Stegostoma tigrinum: one gene and its partner. Each later gene encodes a partner of the first gene's protein in a complex. Links are inferred from orthologs where the notes say so. Each region holds a gene or a part of one and is shown on either strand. Other genes may lie near its edges.

Region 1 (8,225 bases):
TTTAATGATCTTTGGTGAATTTCTGTATTGCCACTACAGAGTGTCAGTGGTGGAGTGACATGCTTGTGGATGTGGTGCCAACCAAGCAAGTTACTTTGTCCTGGGTGGTGTCAAATTTCTTGATTGTTGGAGCTGCACCCTTCCAGGCAAATGAGGACTATTCCAACACACTCCTGACTTCTGTCTTTTAGGTGACTGATAGGCTTTGGGGAGTCAGGAGGTGAGTTACTCACCACAGTACGCCTAGTCTCCGACCTGACTTTGTAGCGACTGTGCTTATGTGGTGACTCCAGTTAGGTTTTTGGTCAATGGCAAGCCCCCGGGATGTTGACAATGAGGGATTCAGTGATAGTAACATCATTAGACTGTTTCCTGCAGCAGTTCAACAAGGCAGGTCATTACCACCTTCTCAAGGCCAACTAGCGACCGACAATATATCCTGGTCAGCCAGTGATGCCCAGGTCCCACAATTGAAGAAAATAAATGTCAAGGGGGGTGGTTGGATTGTTTCTGATTGGAGTTAGTGAATTTGTGTGGTGTAAATGTTACTTGCTATTTCTCAAACAAAGCCTGAATATTGTCCAGAGCTTGTTGCATTTGAACATGGAATGATTCAGGATCTGAGAAGTCACAAATGATGCTGAGCATTGTGCAAGCATCAGTGAACATCCCCACTTCTGGCCTTATGAGGGAGTGAAGGTGATTGATGTAGCAGCTGAAGGTGCTTGGACCTAGGACACTACCCTGAGGAACTCCTGCAGAAATGTCCTGGAGCTGAGATGACTAACATCCAACAATCATGATTATCTCTCTACATTGCCAGGTATGACTCCAACCAGCTGAGGATTTGCCCCCAATACCTTTTTTTTTCAATTTTGCTAGTGATCCTTGATGCCACACTCAGTTAAATGCAGCCTGGATGTCAAGGGTTGTCACTTTCATACCTCATATTACCCCTGGAATATGACTGGGTGTGACTAAGCAGGTAATTGCTGAGCAGGTGCTGCTTCATAACATGGTTGATGACATCCATTAGTATTGGCCGTTGAAGAGCTGTATAGTGCTGCTTTACTTCCTATGTCAGTCAGCCTCACTGAATTAGACATAGGGCATAAATAATCAAATTAATTTACTCTGAATTAGGAAATTAGCATTTTCAGTCGCAAAGAAGAACTGCAAATATTTTGTTATCTCTATCTTTATCTACGTTAAGGAAACTATTGAGATTAACTACCATTTTATGAAGAACTCAGCTTTTCACATGTAGATCAATATGTTGTTTTTAATCTATCTCATTTACAACTGAAAAATTCTAAAATCTAGCTTTACTTAAGGCATTGGAGGAGCAATTGTCGTCATGACAAAAATGCTTGGCAATTTTTTTTTGCAATTGGACTTAACATCCATGAGAATTTTTTAAATCAAATATATAAGGAAACAAAAATTGCCCCCTTTCATTGTAAGCTAATATTTCCTTTTAATAAAAAATGATCATTACATAAATTGGTCCAATCTAAATATTGACAAGATTCAATGGAAAAACTTGAATATAAAGTTTCATAATTTGGTGAGTGGGTAGAGGGTGAGTGATAATTCTAAAGGCAATTCCTAGGGGTTTTGTGGCTAAGCTTGTAGCTGAGCTCAGCAAAGTACAGGTCTTCAAAGTTGCTTGCATAAAGCTCAGCCTAAATCCGCTGAGATCTTGAATTTTTGATGGGAGCTGAATAGGATGGTAGTAGGACATTGTTACTCATCCAGAAGTTGAAGTTAGTTAAGCAAGAGATAGGATGCAAATGATTGAAGTGTCAAGGGTGTTGACATAAGACTCGATCTAAGTGTTCACAGCATATATTGACCAAATGAACACAAATGATGTCATCCAAGGACAGCTTCTAAATAATTCCTAGTCTGAGATGAGTTACTAATCTTGGCCTGTAGCGAGGTGGAGGCAATTTTTCTCAATGTTCAAGTTACAACGAACAATGAGTGAAAGTCAGACACTGCGAGCCTGAACAGTGTAGGAAATTTAGGTAGACTTTGTCTTTGTTTGAATCCTAATTGGTCTTGATGAATGTAAAAACTCAAAACAATATACTGCTAAGAAATAATCATTAATTTGACTTTCTTCTATAATTATTAAGCATATTATCTGAATCCACAAAATATAATTTGTTCTACATTAGCATATAACAAAAGGATTCTTTAAAAACATCTTTTAAATGAATTCAGAGATAGTAAGAACTGCAGATGCTGGAGTCAAAGATAACACAATTTGGAACAATGGAGCATCACAGGAGCAGGAATGTCGACGTTTCGTGTCCCGTCCTGAAATGCCAACATTCCTGCTCCTCTGATGCTACTCAGCCTGCTGTGTTCCTCCAGTTCCACACTATATTATCTTTTTAAGTAAACTTAGATTCTTAGATTAGCGAGTTTTGAGAAGATTTGTAGCTCAGGTTGAGTTTCTGGATGTGAGTTTGCTCGCTGAGCTGGAAGGTTAGTTTTCAGACGTTTCGTCACCATTCTAGGTAACATCATCAGTGAGCCTCCGACGAAGTGCTGGTGTTATGTCCCACTTTCTATTTATCTGGTTAGGTTTCCTTGGGTTGGTGATGTCATTTCCTGTTCTTTTTATCAAGGGATGGTAGATTGGCTCCAAATCAATGTGTTTGTTGATGGAGTTCCGGTTGGAATGCCATGCTTCTAGGAATTCTCGTGCGTGTCTCTGTTTGGCTTGTCCTAGGATGCATGTGTTGTCCCAATCAAAGTGGTGTCCTTCCTCATCTTGCAAGAGCTGTGACAAACACAACATTGGACAAACAGGCAGAAAGCTAGCCACCAGGATACATGGACATCAACTAGCCACAAAACAACATGACCCACTATCACTAGTATCCTTACATACAGATGAGGAAGGACACCACTTTGATTGGGACAACACATCCATCCTAGGACAAGCCAAACAGAGACACGCACGAGAATTCCTAGAAGCATGGCATTCCAACCGGAACTCCATCAACAAACACATTGATTTGGAGCCAATCTACCATCCCCTGAGAAAAAGAACAGGAAATGACATCACCAATGCAGGAAATGACATCACCAACCCAAGGAAATCTAACCAGATAAATAGAAAGCGGGACATAACACCAGCGCTTTGTCGGAGGCTCACTGATGATGTTACTTAGAATGGTGATGAAACGTCTGAAAACTAACCTTCCAGCTCAGCGAGCCAACTCACATTCTTAGATTCTCAATTTGTGCAGTTAAAGTAAGGATAAAATTTCTATTTTAGTGACAGATGTATTAGATAACGTGACAAGCATAACATTTCCTGGTCTAATGCAAACTGATAAAATATTGCATAATTTACATAATTACAGGGAAATTTTCAAGTATGTTTGATTTAGTCATTATTGGAATATAGATAGACTAAAACTAATTGCCTGGAGAAGTAGGTAATGCGCTACAATCTTGAACTGCTGCAGTCCTTGGGGTGTAGAGGTACTCAGTGTTGTTAGCAAGTTCCAGGACTTTAACCTAGCAACAGTGAAGGAGCAATGATATATTTCCAAGTTAAGATGGTGTATAGCTTGAAGGGGAATTTGAAGGTGGCAGCATGTCCATGCCTTTGCTCCCCTTGGTTTTCTAGGTGCTATGAGTTTTGGATTTGGAAGCTTCATAAATATAATCTTTATTTTGATTTGACTTCTTTTGAAAAAAAGGATTATTCTCCAAAATCAAATCTTTTATACATAGTGAATTGAACTCCTTGGTTATGAGGATTGATTCTATTCCTCATATTTCAAGCAGAACATTGACACCGTAGATTTGCCTGAGTCAATATGGAAATGTAAAATGCATTCTGTTAATCCAATATGAATTGCAGGTAGGATTTGAGCATAATGAAATGAAAAATAAGAATGCATCAATAATGAACAAAGACAAGACAATAGATACTGTATTTAGGATTTATTTTAGCATTCCAAGGCCAGGGCTGTAACCTGCTGCAATAATAATAAATAAAAACTGAAAGAACAATGGATGCTGTAAACGAGGAACAAAAACAGAAGTTGCTGGAAAAGTTCAGCAGGTCTGGCAGCATCTGTGGAGAGAAATCAGAGTTCACATTTTGGGTTGAGTCATTCAACAGACCTGCTGAGCTTTTCCAGGATTTTTTTTGTTTTTAGAGCAATAATAAGACCTCGTTTATGAGGAGCAGCGATGTAGTAGTCATGTTAATGGACCAATAATCCGGAACTGCAGTTATTGCTTTGGTGATGTGGGTTTGAATCCTACCAATGACACTTGGTGACATTTGAATTCAAAATAAAAACCTGGAATTAAAAATATAATTTAATGGTGACCGTGTACCCACTATCAATAAAACATCCCTGTTTCATCAATATCCTGTAGAGAAGCAAATGTGCCATCCTTATCAGGTCTGGCAAACATGTGATCCCAGACCCACAGCAATGTGGTTGGCATTTAACAGACCTCTGTGTAACAAGGATGGCAATAAAGGTGGGGTGATGCCCGTGTTCAATGAATAATAATAAAAAAACTTGATACAGTAACGTATAAGGTGTAGAATTCTTAAAGTAATAAGTAACATATTGGCCTCCCTCCGTGCAAAGCCAGTGCTCCTGTCACCTTAAGCTGTTGGACTTTTGCTGCAGGGTACATCAGCCAAGGCACAATCTCCACCTGTAAAAGGGAGCTAAGACGTGTGTGGAAGGGACTGCAACAGCTTATATAGTGTCAACATAAGTATAACATTATATAAACTTCTAAAGCACAATGTTGGACTATTTCAGAAATGAGTTTACTTTTTCAGGTGGGCACAGAAGGATCTCTATTCACCCAGCAGTGTTCTACTTGTTGCGCAGAGGCCATTCTGTGTCTTTGCAGGGTATGATCTGGACGTTCAGTTTCCCCCAATTAATCCTTCACTTGTCGATACAATCACAGCATTTCTGGGTTTTTTTTTAAACCAAAGAAACTCTGCTTTCCAATTGAAATATTTTCTCCTTTGTGCATGCATGCGCGCGCGCGCGCGCGTGTGTGTGTGTGTGTGTGCGCGCTTAAAAACTGCAGTAATCCTAACATACCATGAGGGTGCACCGTTTTGACAGTCTGTAGCAGTAGTTGGGTGCCGACTGGTCATGTTTATTTTTGTGAAGTGTTCGTTTCTCCTACCCAAATGAGGAACTGGGTTTGGGGGTCTAATCGCATACATCTACAGGAAATATCCAAGTTTTACTTGTCATTTCCTTTGTCCTCTAAATGATTTTTCCTAAAAAGAAAAATGTCAAACAGACACACGAGGGCGCCAGAAATATATAATTTTTGGTTTAAATTCTTCCCTCCACCCCAGGGCAAATTTAAATACTCCCTGGTAAAAGTACTCTAGGGGGTTCAATCTAATTGGGCATCATTTACAAGGAGATCGCTGCCTGAAAGAATGAGTTGCACCTCTTCCTTATAAGAGGTTTAAACGAACATCTTCAGGTGGGGATAAAAGGGTTGGATTCTCCCTCTTCAAATGCAGCTTTGCGGCTCGGTTAACCTCCTGAAAAAAGGACTAGGACATCTCTCTGGCTGCCTGCGCCGTTTCAGTAAAAATGTCACGTAGGCGAAGCTCAGGCCACGTCAAAGCATACCTCTCACAGCATCTGAGCAAAACTGCGTCCTAGTGAGCGGAGAAGGTGGTGCAGCCTGCCCCATTAGACAGGTCCCATCATGGACGAAGACGACGAGAACGAGGAGGATACGCGCAGCAAAAGCATCAGAATGAAAGCGATCCCGTCTCCCCCAGGAGGGGGAGCCGGCCGAGGCTACCACAACACAGACAAGCAGCCGGGGGAATCGAACCAGGGCGAGGTAGAGACAGCGGTGGGCATGAAGTGCAACACGAACGGGGATTGCAGGGTGACCCAGGGAAGCCAATCGTCCATCAACCGGACGGATGAGAGTGAGGAGAAGAAAGCCGCGATGGAGGGAGGGGGCGCCTCCCGCAGCGAGGACAAGAGGGAGAGCAAAGTGGCTTTCTCGGCGGAGCCGCCCAGCCGAACATGCTCGCAGTTCCAGCAGCGCGGCAGGAACTCCGTGAGCCTGCACAAGTCCGAAGGGGCCGAGCAGATCTTCCCCGAGGATGCCGAGCAGAACGGCAGTCAGGCCAGCTTCATGCAGCGCCAGTTCGGGGCTATGCTGCAGCCGGGAGTTAACAAGTTTTCCCTGCGGATGTTCGGCAGCCAAAAGGCTGTGGAGAGGGAGCAGGAGAGAGTCAAATCGGCCGGAGCCTGGATTATCCACCCTTACAGTGACTTTCGGTGAGTGTTGCACGAACCCTCCTGTAATAAACACGATAGAGAGAGACACACACACATCTGTGACTGTAGCTCTTAAAGTGGGCTCCACTTGAGTCAGCTGCAACTTGTAATACTGAAGCAACTCGCTGCGGCTGCTTTTCCCCAATGCGGAAATTCAAGTGGTTATTTAGTAAGCAATCTCTAAGAAAAACATAGCAGCCAAACATCTGGACAGACTCATTGATGTAGACAACTGAAGCCTGTCCCTCGATTTGGAGGTGGTGTGTGTGTAAGTATGAATGTGGCTATGGTCTCTGAGAGACGCCGCAGAGATGCAGTGAAGGGGATTTGTCCTCTATTTCAAAGTACAGTGCTCACGTTTGTACGGAGTTAGCAGATCGTGCAGGTGGTCCCAGGAACATGTACCATTACTGACAGAACTTCTTCTTGGGCAGCACATAATTGGTGCCATAAACCACACGTACAAACAACGGTGCAGGCAGCGTATTCCTTTTGAAGAGTATACATATTAGTGGGTCTGTTTCGTGTGTGTGTGTGTGTGTTTGGTTGGGGGTGGGGTGCGAATTAACCTGCTGGGATAGGTGACACTTAAACCCACACCTTCAGGTTGAACATTTAAAATCGTGCTTAACCAACACAGTGTTACTCACGAAACGTTTGGAGAAAGGGTGTTTACCTTTATTGCTTTGATGTTAAGCGGTGCTGGGTACATTGGGTCACCGCTACAGATTTATCATGGGTGTGGGTCTGAGCGTCGATTCTGTCTCATGTCCTTGGGAGGCATTGGGCTCTTGAGGTTGACTTCCCGGTTGTCTCATCTTCCAAAGAACGGAGACGTTTTTAATTGCCACAGTTTGGGGATTAGGAATGGACAAGGCGTGTGTTTGTCTCTTGTTCTGGTGCTTTCTGTCAGCACCGTGATAGACTTAGTTCAGGAAAATTGCGGGTTCCAGCCCAACGGGGACAAGAGACTCTCATCTGTTCCTGCATTAACGTTACTCCGCACCTCAAACTGGTGTGAGGTGACCTCCTGGAAGATTCTATATCACGTTTCAGCGCTTTCCCAAATTCACATCATCGCATCAAACCAAACTAAAACCAGCCAAGCCTCAGTAATTCTGGTTGAAATGTAACAGATTTTTTAAAAATAGAGCTCTCTCGAAAGATAAACACATCTCCACAAGTATAAAGAGCTCTGCACCTGTTCTTTGCCTGTAATCTTTACACTTGGGATGTAACATAAGACCTACACCTTCAGATTCATCTGAATAAACATTTTTGTTCACGTTGCTGCAATTCTTTGTAGTTTCATATCCACTGATATGCACATTTATTTGCCTAAGATTTTGTAACTGGGAAACATTGAATTGTTTATGGGTAGTTTGACAATTACTCATTTCAAGCCATGTAACATTATCAGCTCCCTGTAATATTTGAATTGCAATCATTTTGATGGTTTACTCTCCAAACGCCAAAGTTTTGTAAAAGCTAAACCATTGATTCATTGGTGATACTCACAAGTGAATTGAAAATTTGTACAGCCTGAGCCATTCATCTCAGATTTTATGTTCTCAGCAGAGAGGAAAGAATAAGCTTCAGATATTTTCTGTGAACTATCTGTGACCTTTGCTTTCTTTGGGTCCAGTAATACATATTAGATCATCCTCCTTGCAGTGCTTGTTTCCAGCTGTGGGCATTATTAAAACAGTTCACACACCTGGCAACTAACACAATGCCTTGCAGACTGTCTTTGCACTGAAGTAGGAATTTATTGGGCACATGCTTTCTCCCCTTTAACTCATGATACTTTCTATTAATAAATCATAACTCCTCCAATTTAGAACAAATTGTTCTTCAGGCTGCCATCCATCTTCCTTCTTTCATTCAGAGAGC
Region 2 (7,627 bases), on another chromosome or scaffold:
TGCACATTCTCCCAGTGTCTGCGTGGGTTTCCTCCAGGTGCTCCGGTTCCCTCCCACAGTCCAAAGATGTGCGGGCCAGGTGGATTGGCCATGCTAAAATTGCCCGTAGTGCTCAGGGATGTGTAGATTAGGTGGGATGCTCTGAGGTTCGGTGTGGACTTGTTGGGCTGAAGGGCCTGTTTCCACACTGCAGGGATTCTATGATCTATTCTGTATAGAATGATTTGGAACCCAAACGCTTGCCAAGGGAATGTTGCAGGATTGAGATGAAATGCTATTTTAAAATTTATTAAATCAAAAAGGTAAAAATCAGCCAAATATTTAGACAATAGTATTAAGTAGAAATAAAAAGTTTTAACCATGACACATAGGTGAACACATAGTAGTTGTGAGCTTTTCATTTTCACATATAAACGTTGCCTGAAATGTTTGATTATATTCCAGCGACAGATTTATTCTACCTATGTGCTTCGTGGAAAAATGTGATTGTAAGAATATTTTTGTTATTTCCGAAGTTGATGACACATCTCTCTTTTTAAAATTTATTCATGGGATATGAATAACACTGGCTGGGTCAGCATTTATTGGCCACCCCGATCTGCCTTTGAACTGTGGGGTTTACTCGGCCAGTTCAAATTCAACTGTGACCATAGCAGTGGGTCTGGAGTTTCTTGGTGGCTGGACTCATCCCATAAGGGACAGTGAATCAAGTCAATTCGGGGGTCGTAAAACAATTGACAATATACCAGTTTATTAATTACATTCTTTTCATTAAATTCAAATTCTATTATCCATCACAGTGAGATCTGAACCACTGTCCCCAGAACATTAGTCTGGGGCTCCAGATTACTAATCCAAACAGATCTCACAACTGGTCCCTTAAAACTATAATTTTGCATGATACCTAAGTTCTCTCTGGACATTATTCTCACAAATAAAATTGCACTAAAACAAATCAAGTGCTTTTAAACCCTCATGCTCCTAATACAGCTGGATTTGAGACAAGGAGAAAAGCAATTTAGTTTGTATGATATGAGTGTAGTGAAGTACTTTGACTTTAGCCAACAGTGTTAAACAGGAAACACTAGATCATTAAAATGAAAATTAAAGACGCAGAATGTGACATTGGTCCAACATCACTTTTTACACCTTTGCCCTATATGAGCAATTTCTCCACTGAATTTAAATATTTTACAGAAAGAAAGTCAAGTTGGACTAAAATTTGTACAGAAGAACTATCTCAAGTGTAACTACCAAATAAACGATACTGTAGAGTTTTCAAATTGCCATTAATTTGCTACATAAATTATCAATATAAACACTGTATGTTGCTATCATCTATAATTATTGGGGTCAACGTATAGCTAAGATTTGAGAAGTGAGCTATCAAGGTGGAAACTTAAGATTTAATAATTATTTCAATTACAAATTTACGAGCACAGGACTGTGTAAAAATGCACTGGCAAAACTGCCTGTTTTTGCATGAATTGGTATTGATCTGTTGTCCACGTATTGATCTGAGGGATCTCTACGTTGTGTCTGATTTGAGACTAACCAGTACTAAAAATGAATATTGCTCACACCTGATCCCGGTAGGCCCTTAACTAAATATGCAGAGGTATACACTTGGGAAAGAAAAGCAACATCAAAAACATGCCTAATAATATTTCCATTAAACGTTAGAAAAAATGATCGTTATGCCTACTTTCAATAGCATATCTGATCCTATATATCTTTGTGATTTTCCGGTGGAATGATCAGCAAAATTCTGGGACATTCAAATTCTGACAGCCCAGCAATTTAAAAAGAGTCGTATTGCGGATTTATATTATTTTCACAACGAAACTGCACTGTGCCTTAGTAACGTCACTTTTTTGTGTTGCTAAAACATGCCCGTACAGAAGTTTTCGGATAGTCAAAGAGGGAGATGCAAGGGCAGTGTTGAAGTCTACAAGCCTGTTGCTGTCACTCACAGTCACTATTGACAGGGTTCCGTGACCCATTCCGATGTCGCGACTCGTGCAGAACATGGATAAATTAGAAGATCAATACACGCAATAAATAAGAAAACTGCTTTATTATGTACGAAATCTTTAGAAAGAAATTAAGAATGTCGTGACGAAATACTGATATGCGAGCAAGAATAAAAATGTGAAGACTCGAAGTGAGTTGGATTCCCAGTGATGACAATGGTTATATAAAGAAACAAATTTGCGGATTCAACAAAGCCAAATGCCGACAATCATTCACACCAAGATTTCCAATCCCAGCACTGATCAGTAGATTAGTTTATACACAACACCCGTTCAAAACTCCTGCATGTTTAATTTGTGACGCCTGTAATAGTTATTTATTGTCTCAAACATGCAATGCGTCCATGTTATACACACGGCGGCACACTACTGTATCTGCAAGACACAAATTGTAAATTTCTGCCTTTCTTCAGCAACTGAGCATTTGCATTAAAATGTGCAAAACGTAGCAGATTCTTTTCCGCCTTCCATCATCCGTCGCCCTTGAATCGACGAGTGTCAGGCATCATATTTCTGCGTAATACTTAAATGTATTAAAACATGTACTAGATGTAAAGCTACACCGCAGTTCATGTTAACCTTCTCCATAAACTGGATCGTAATTCCACATTATGCCAAGGTAAGCTGCTGTCATTGATAGCATACACGCGTATAAATTTAACCAGCGATGATATATGCCTGCCGCTGCATCCTGAATGCACAACTGAAAACTTGTGTTTTATTGTGCATCATTCTGTAACTAACACAGCCAGATCACCTTGACAATCATTTTCCTTTTCATTTTGCATGCCATTTTCTCGTTTCGCTCTGAATTGCATTTGACCATTGAAAGCCAACGTTCATGCTGAGGTTACCTCATATTTAAATTTTTTTTAAAAACACAAAATTACACAAATACGTATTTGGCTACGTTCTGACTGACCTGCATGTGCCCCTGGTACATCCTGAATGGGTTATTTACTGCAGACGAGCTGCACACTTGCGGTCTGTCTGGAAGCAGTCGGGGCTGATGTGCAGTTTCGAGCTTTTTCACAGGCTCTCTCTTCAAAGGTGACTGGGAAAGTGACTGGAGCTGTATGTCCGTACTGCTGGGGCCGGCGCTGGGATTGAACCCGCCCCTCTCTCTCTCTCTCTCTGTCAGTCTCCTCCTCACGTGCCGGGTTCGGGAGCTGTGCGTGTTCCGTCACAATGTCACAGGCAAGTTCCTATCAGCCTGGAGGTCAGCAGGTCGACCCCGTAACTGTACCCGGAGAGGGGTGCACACAGAGGGGAGGTCTGTGGGATCTGTCCGCTTCCAACGATTTAACCGTACAGCGAGTTTTCACCTTGTACCTACCCACTGCTGACTCGGACAGATTGCATCCTTTGTACAGCAAGCTCTAAAGTTGTGAGTTGCATCACAATGAAAAACAAGTCAAACACATTTTCATTCTTTACAAGGTGCACTGGTACAAAAAAAGGACGTTGTTGCCAGACTGGGCAAGTTAAAGGCATTATCGGTTCCGGTGACGGTGGAATTCATACATCTAAAGAGCATCTTGGCTAAAGACCCTCTTCCCATTGAAAATGAAACTTCTTGAACACGCCAGCTGAAGATAATGTAAAGAATCAGCTCGAGGAACCTGCACTGGGAGATTCACCCAGCACACGTGCATAGCAGCAAGCTGAAGTAAATCAAACATCAACTTTGCGGAGAGTGAGCCCACAGACTAATGTCCAAGAAACAGGTGATGACTTCAAGGTCCCAACCATCTCAGGTACAACCACCTCAGTGCACTGTAAAGCCTGAGTACAACAGAGCATTGGAAATTTGCATAAATGGAGAGGGCATAGAGGAGTCTTATGCCCATCTGAATGGACTCGAAATAAAGCTGTCAGTCAGAGAGCACCAGTTGGCAATGGAAATTCTAATGTTAACTGAGTTTAATTGAAACGGACTCCTTTCATTTTGACTGGCTTTCAGCATCTGCAACAACTTTTAAAGCATAAAGGCAAGGATGGTGTACAAAATGATGAGAGGCATAGAGACAGTGGATAGCCAGAGGCTTTTTCCCAGAACAGAAATGGTTATCATGATGGGGCATAATTTTAAGGTGACTGGAGGAAGGAATGGAGGAGATGTCACAGATAGGTTCTTTACAAAAGGTGGAGTGGTGGGTGAGTGGAATGTGCTGCTGCCAGTGGTGGTGGTAGAGTCAGATACGTTACGGACATTTAAATGACTCTTGGATAAGCACATGGATGTTAGTAAATGTACAACATGCAGGGTAGATTGATCTTAGCTAGATAATAAATCAGCACAACATTGTGGGCTGAAGGGCCTGTACTGTGCTGTATTGTTCTACATTCTACATAACATCTTATCATTGCAATATTCTGTTCTCACACAGAACAGTGGGAGTGCTGGGATACAGCCACACTACTGTGAGATTAGCACCATGAGACAGGCAATGTTTTCTCTCAAAATGACAATAAGTTAGTACCACACAGCTAGCTTATCCAAATTGTCATCCGTGCACAATTCAATAGTGAAAAGTATTCTCGTGTTTAACATGGTTTGCCTTCAATGTGAAAACTTTATTGTTGTATGTTCGCAGGACCAACTACTGGTAGCCTGTAATTGGGTAGAGTGCTACCACCTATCCCTCTTCCTGCTGCCAGTAAGGACCTGTTCAGCTAACAGTTGTTGAGAATGAATGACAAGTATGTATTAACAAAAAGAGGCATTTGTTTAAACAGCAACATACAGTTCATTGAATGATATCAATAGATACATTAACTAATTAGTCCTAGTAATTATGCTTATCAGGAGGAGGAAAACGTGACTTCAAGCAGAGAGCTGAGAGATGGGTGAGTAAAGGAAATCTTGATCTCTTTCTAACGTATTTGTATTTCACAGTGATGTGCAGTTTGCCAGTTAAATTCTATATTTAATCCAGGTTTATGGAGGGATGTATAAACTGTCAATAACCATGAATCCATTGCCAAATGTTGGGAAAACCCCCATCTGGTTCATTGATGTCTTATGGGAAGGAAACTACCATCCTTACCTGGTCTGGCCTATATGTGAGTCCAAATCCACAGCAATGTGGTTGATTCTGGGATGGGCAATAAATGCTGGCTAGGCAGCAATGCCCTCATCCTATTAATGAATAAAGGGGGAAAATGTGTGAATGTTGCAGCAGATAGGAAACCCTGGATGCCAGTGAGATCCAGGACAAACATATCCAGCAATATGTTTGAAGCTCTTTGAGCTCCAGCACAAAAACATTGAGCTGGAGGTTGAGCTGCAGACATTATGACACTTCAGCTAGATTAAATGTACCTTAGAATGGGATCCTGATTTGATTTGATCAGTGATCAGGAACAGGAGAGCCTATCTGTAGCTGAGGTAGGCAACGAAACCTGGAGACCAAGAAGCTTTGCAATTGTCCGATAGGTTTGAGGTTGTTTTGGCTTGCTTGAATGACAGTGAGGGCTGGAGGGAGACAACGACATCATGTACAGAAGCCATTCAAGTTGGGGGGAGAAAAACAGATTGACGTTGCAGCAGAGAGTGACCTTTCAGAAGGCTATGCTTCTTGCCTGGTGCCATGGTTTGCTTAAGATTAGAGAGTAACTTATATTGGGAGAAGGAGGATCCAGCCACCATGTAGGCACCACTAATATAGGCAGGTCAAGGAGAAAGGGCCTGTATAATTGGTATGAAGAGTTGGGCACCAAATTAGGAAGCAGAACCTCAAGAGATAGGTAATTACCTGAGTGATACGTAAATTGAAATAAGACATTTTTAAAAAATATTATTCGTGGGATGAGGGCATCACTGGCTAGGTTGTATTTATTGCCCGTCCCTAATTGCCCAGCGAGTAGTTAAGAATCAACCACATTGCTGTGGTCTGGAATCACATTTAGGCCAGACCAGCTAAGGATGGCAGTTTGCTTCCCTAAAAGACATCAGTGAAACAGATGGGTTTTTCCAGTCAACAATGGATTCATGGTCCTCATTAAACTTTTAATTCCAGATTTTACTTCCCTGTCTTTGGGATTGTTTCTCAGAATAGCTCGTTTTGAGGTTAACCAGTGAGCAAGCAATACTAGATCATGTATTCTGCAACAAATAGGATTTTTAGTGACCCCACAGCGAAGATGTCCCCAAGTAGCATTGAGGACGATGTTGAATTTTATATTCAGTTTGAGGAAAATAAGAGTGGGTCAATGACTTGTATTTTAAACATAAATGAAACAAATTATGAAGGTATGAAAGTAGAGCTAAAGTGAAAATGACAAACTATGTTGTGACATGTCCATAGGCATACAGTGGCAAACATTTAAAGGGGATATTTCAGAATACACAAACCAGTGAGAATGGAAATTCTAGTAGTAGAATCCAGCTTTTGTGGCTAACTGAAAAATGTTAAAGGTTGTACTAAATTTGAAGAAAAGCATGTGTTTGTGTAATGTTGGTTGGCATATAAAATTGGACAGTTTTTTAAAATCCAAGAATGACTAAAAGATTAATGAGGAGAAAAATTTAGTGTGCAAGGAATATAGCTGCAAATATATGTACGGCAAGACTTGTTCTAAAGTTAAGAAAATAATTTTTAAAACAAATTAATAATGGAAAATTAAAAGGAAAGGAGATGCCAAATGAATTGATCAAGTATTTTGCAGTGGTCTTCACTTTAGATGACAATAGCAACATGCTGTAAGTTTAAAAAATGGAAAGAAAGACAGAACTTGGGGAAATTGCAATAACCAGAGAAAAGATACTGAGTAATTTCTTGGAGCTGCAGCCTGACAGGTTGCATGCTTTGATGGAATTCATTCAAGGTTCCTAAAAGAGCAGCTAGTACGAGGTTTGATGCGTTGGAATCAATGGGAATCAGGAGGCAAACTCTCTGCTGTTTGGATTCATAAGAAGATGGCTGTAATTGTTGGAGAACAATCAACCCACTTGTAGGATGTCTCTATAGGAGTTCTTTAGGGTGGGGTGTGAAGCCTAATCATTCTTCAGCTGCCTCATCAGTGACCTTCCCTTCATCATAATGTCAGAAGCAGGAATGTTTGCACAACGTTCAGCACAATTCATGACTCCTCAGATACTGAAGTCGTCCATGTTCAAATGCAACAAGATCTGGAAAGTATCCAGGCTAGCGCTGTCAAGTGGCAAGGAATGTTCACACCACACAAATGCCAGGCAATGACCATCTCCAATAAAGGGACAAATCTAACCACTGCTCTTTGACATTCAGTGGTTTTGTCATCACTGAATGTCCCACTTTCAACATCCTGGGGTCCTATCATTGACCAGAAGCTCAACTGGACTCATCACTTAAACACAGTGGCTACAAGAGCAGATCAGAGCTAGGAATCCTGCAGCAAGTAATTCACATCCTGACTCCCCAAAGCCTGCCCACCATCTATAAGGCACCAAACAGGAGTGTGATGGAATTTTCCCCACTTGCCTGGATGAGTGCTGCTCCAAAAAAAAAAGACCACTGCTGGATACGGAGAAGATGTTTTTGTTTGAGAGAATCTGGAATGAGGAGTTATCATCTTAAATGTGAGGACAGTTGAGACAGGAATGAAGCAAT

The links.
Region 2: the proteins of hcn2b (region 1) and pex5la are in contact, whole or in part, in a crystal structure (PDB 4EQF), measured with the Mus musculus proteins. The link is inferred for Stegostoma tigrinum from reciprocal best matches to the Homo sapiens genes HCN2 and PEX5L. Residues at the interface, in NP_032252.1 of Mus musculus: Leu859, Ser860, Ser861, Asn862, Leu863; in NP_001156988.1 of Mus musculus: Glu315, Glu317, Val343, Asn347, His426, Asn453, Arg454, Ala457, Thr458, Ala460, Asn461, Tyr472, Arg484, Tyr487, Asn488, Ile491, Ile494, Ile537.

The regions. Positions count from the first base shown.
Region 1 is NC_081383.1:14,353,015-14,361,239, forward strand, and holds the start of hcn2b (potassium/sodium hyperpolarization-activated cyclic nucleotide-gated channel 2), read left to right. Parts: upstream 1-5,173; 5' UTR 5,174-5,742; coding exon 5,743-6,332; intron 6,333-8,225. UniProt on the Homo sapiens protein: Hyperpolarization-activated ion channel that is permeable to sodium and potassium ions. Displays lower selectivity for K(+) over Na(+) ions. Contributes to the native pacemaker currents in heart (If) and in neurons (Ih).
Region 2 is NC_081367.1:37,291,623-37,299,249, forward strand, and holds the start of pex5la (PEX5-related protein), read right to left. Parts: upstream 3,159-7,627; 5' UTR 2,977-3,158; coding exon 2,956-2,976; intron 1-2,955. UniProt on the Homo sapiens protein: Accessory subunit of hyperpolarization-activated cyclic nucleotide-gated (HCN) channels, regulating their cell-surface expression and cyclic nucleotide dependence.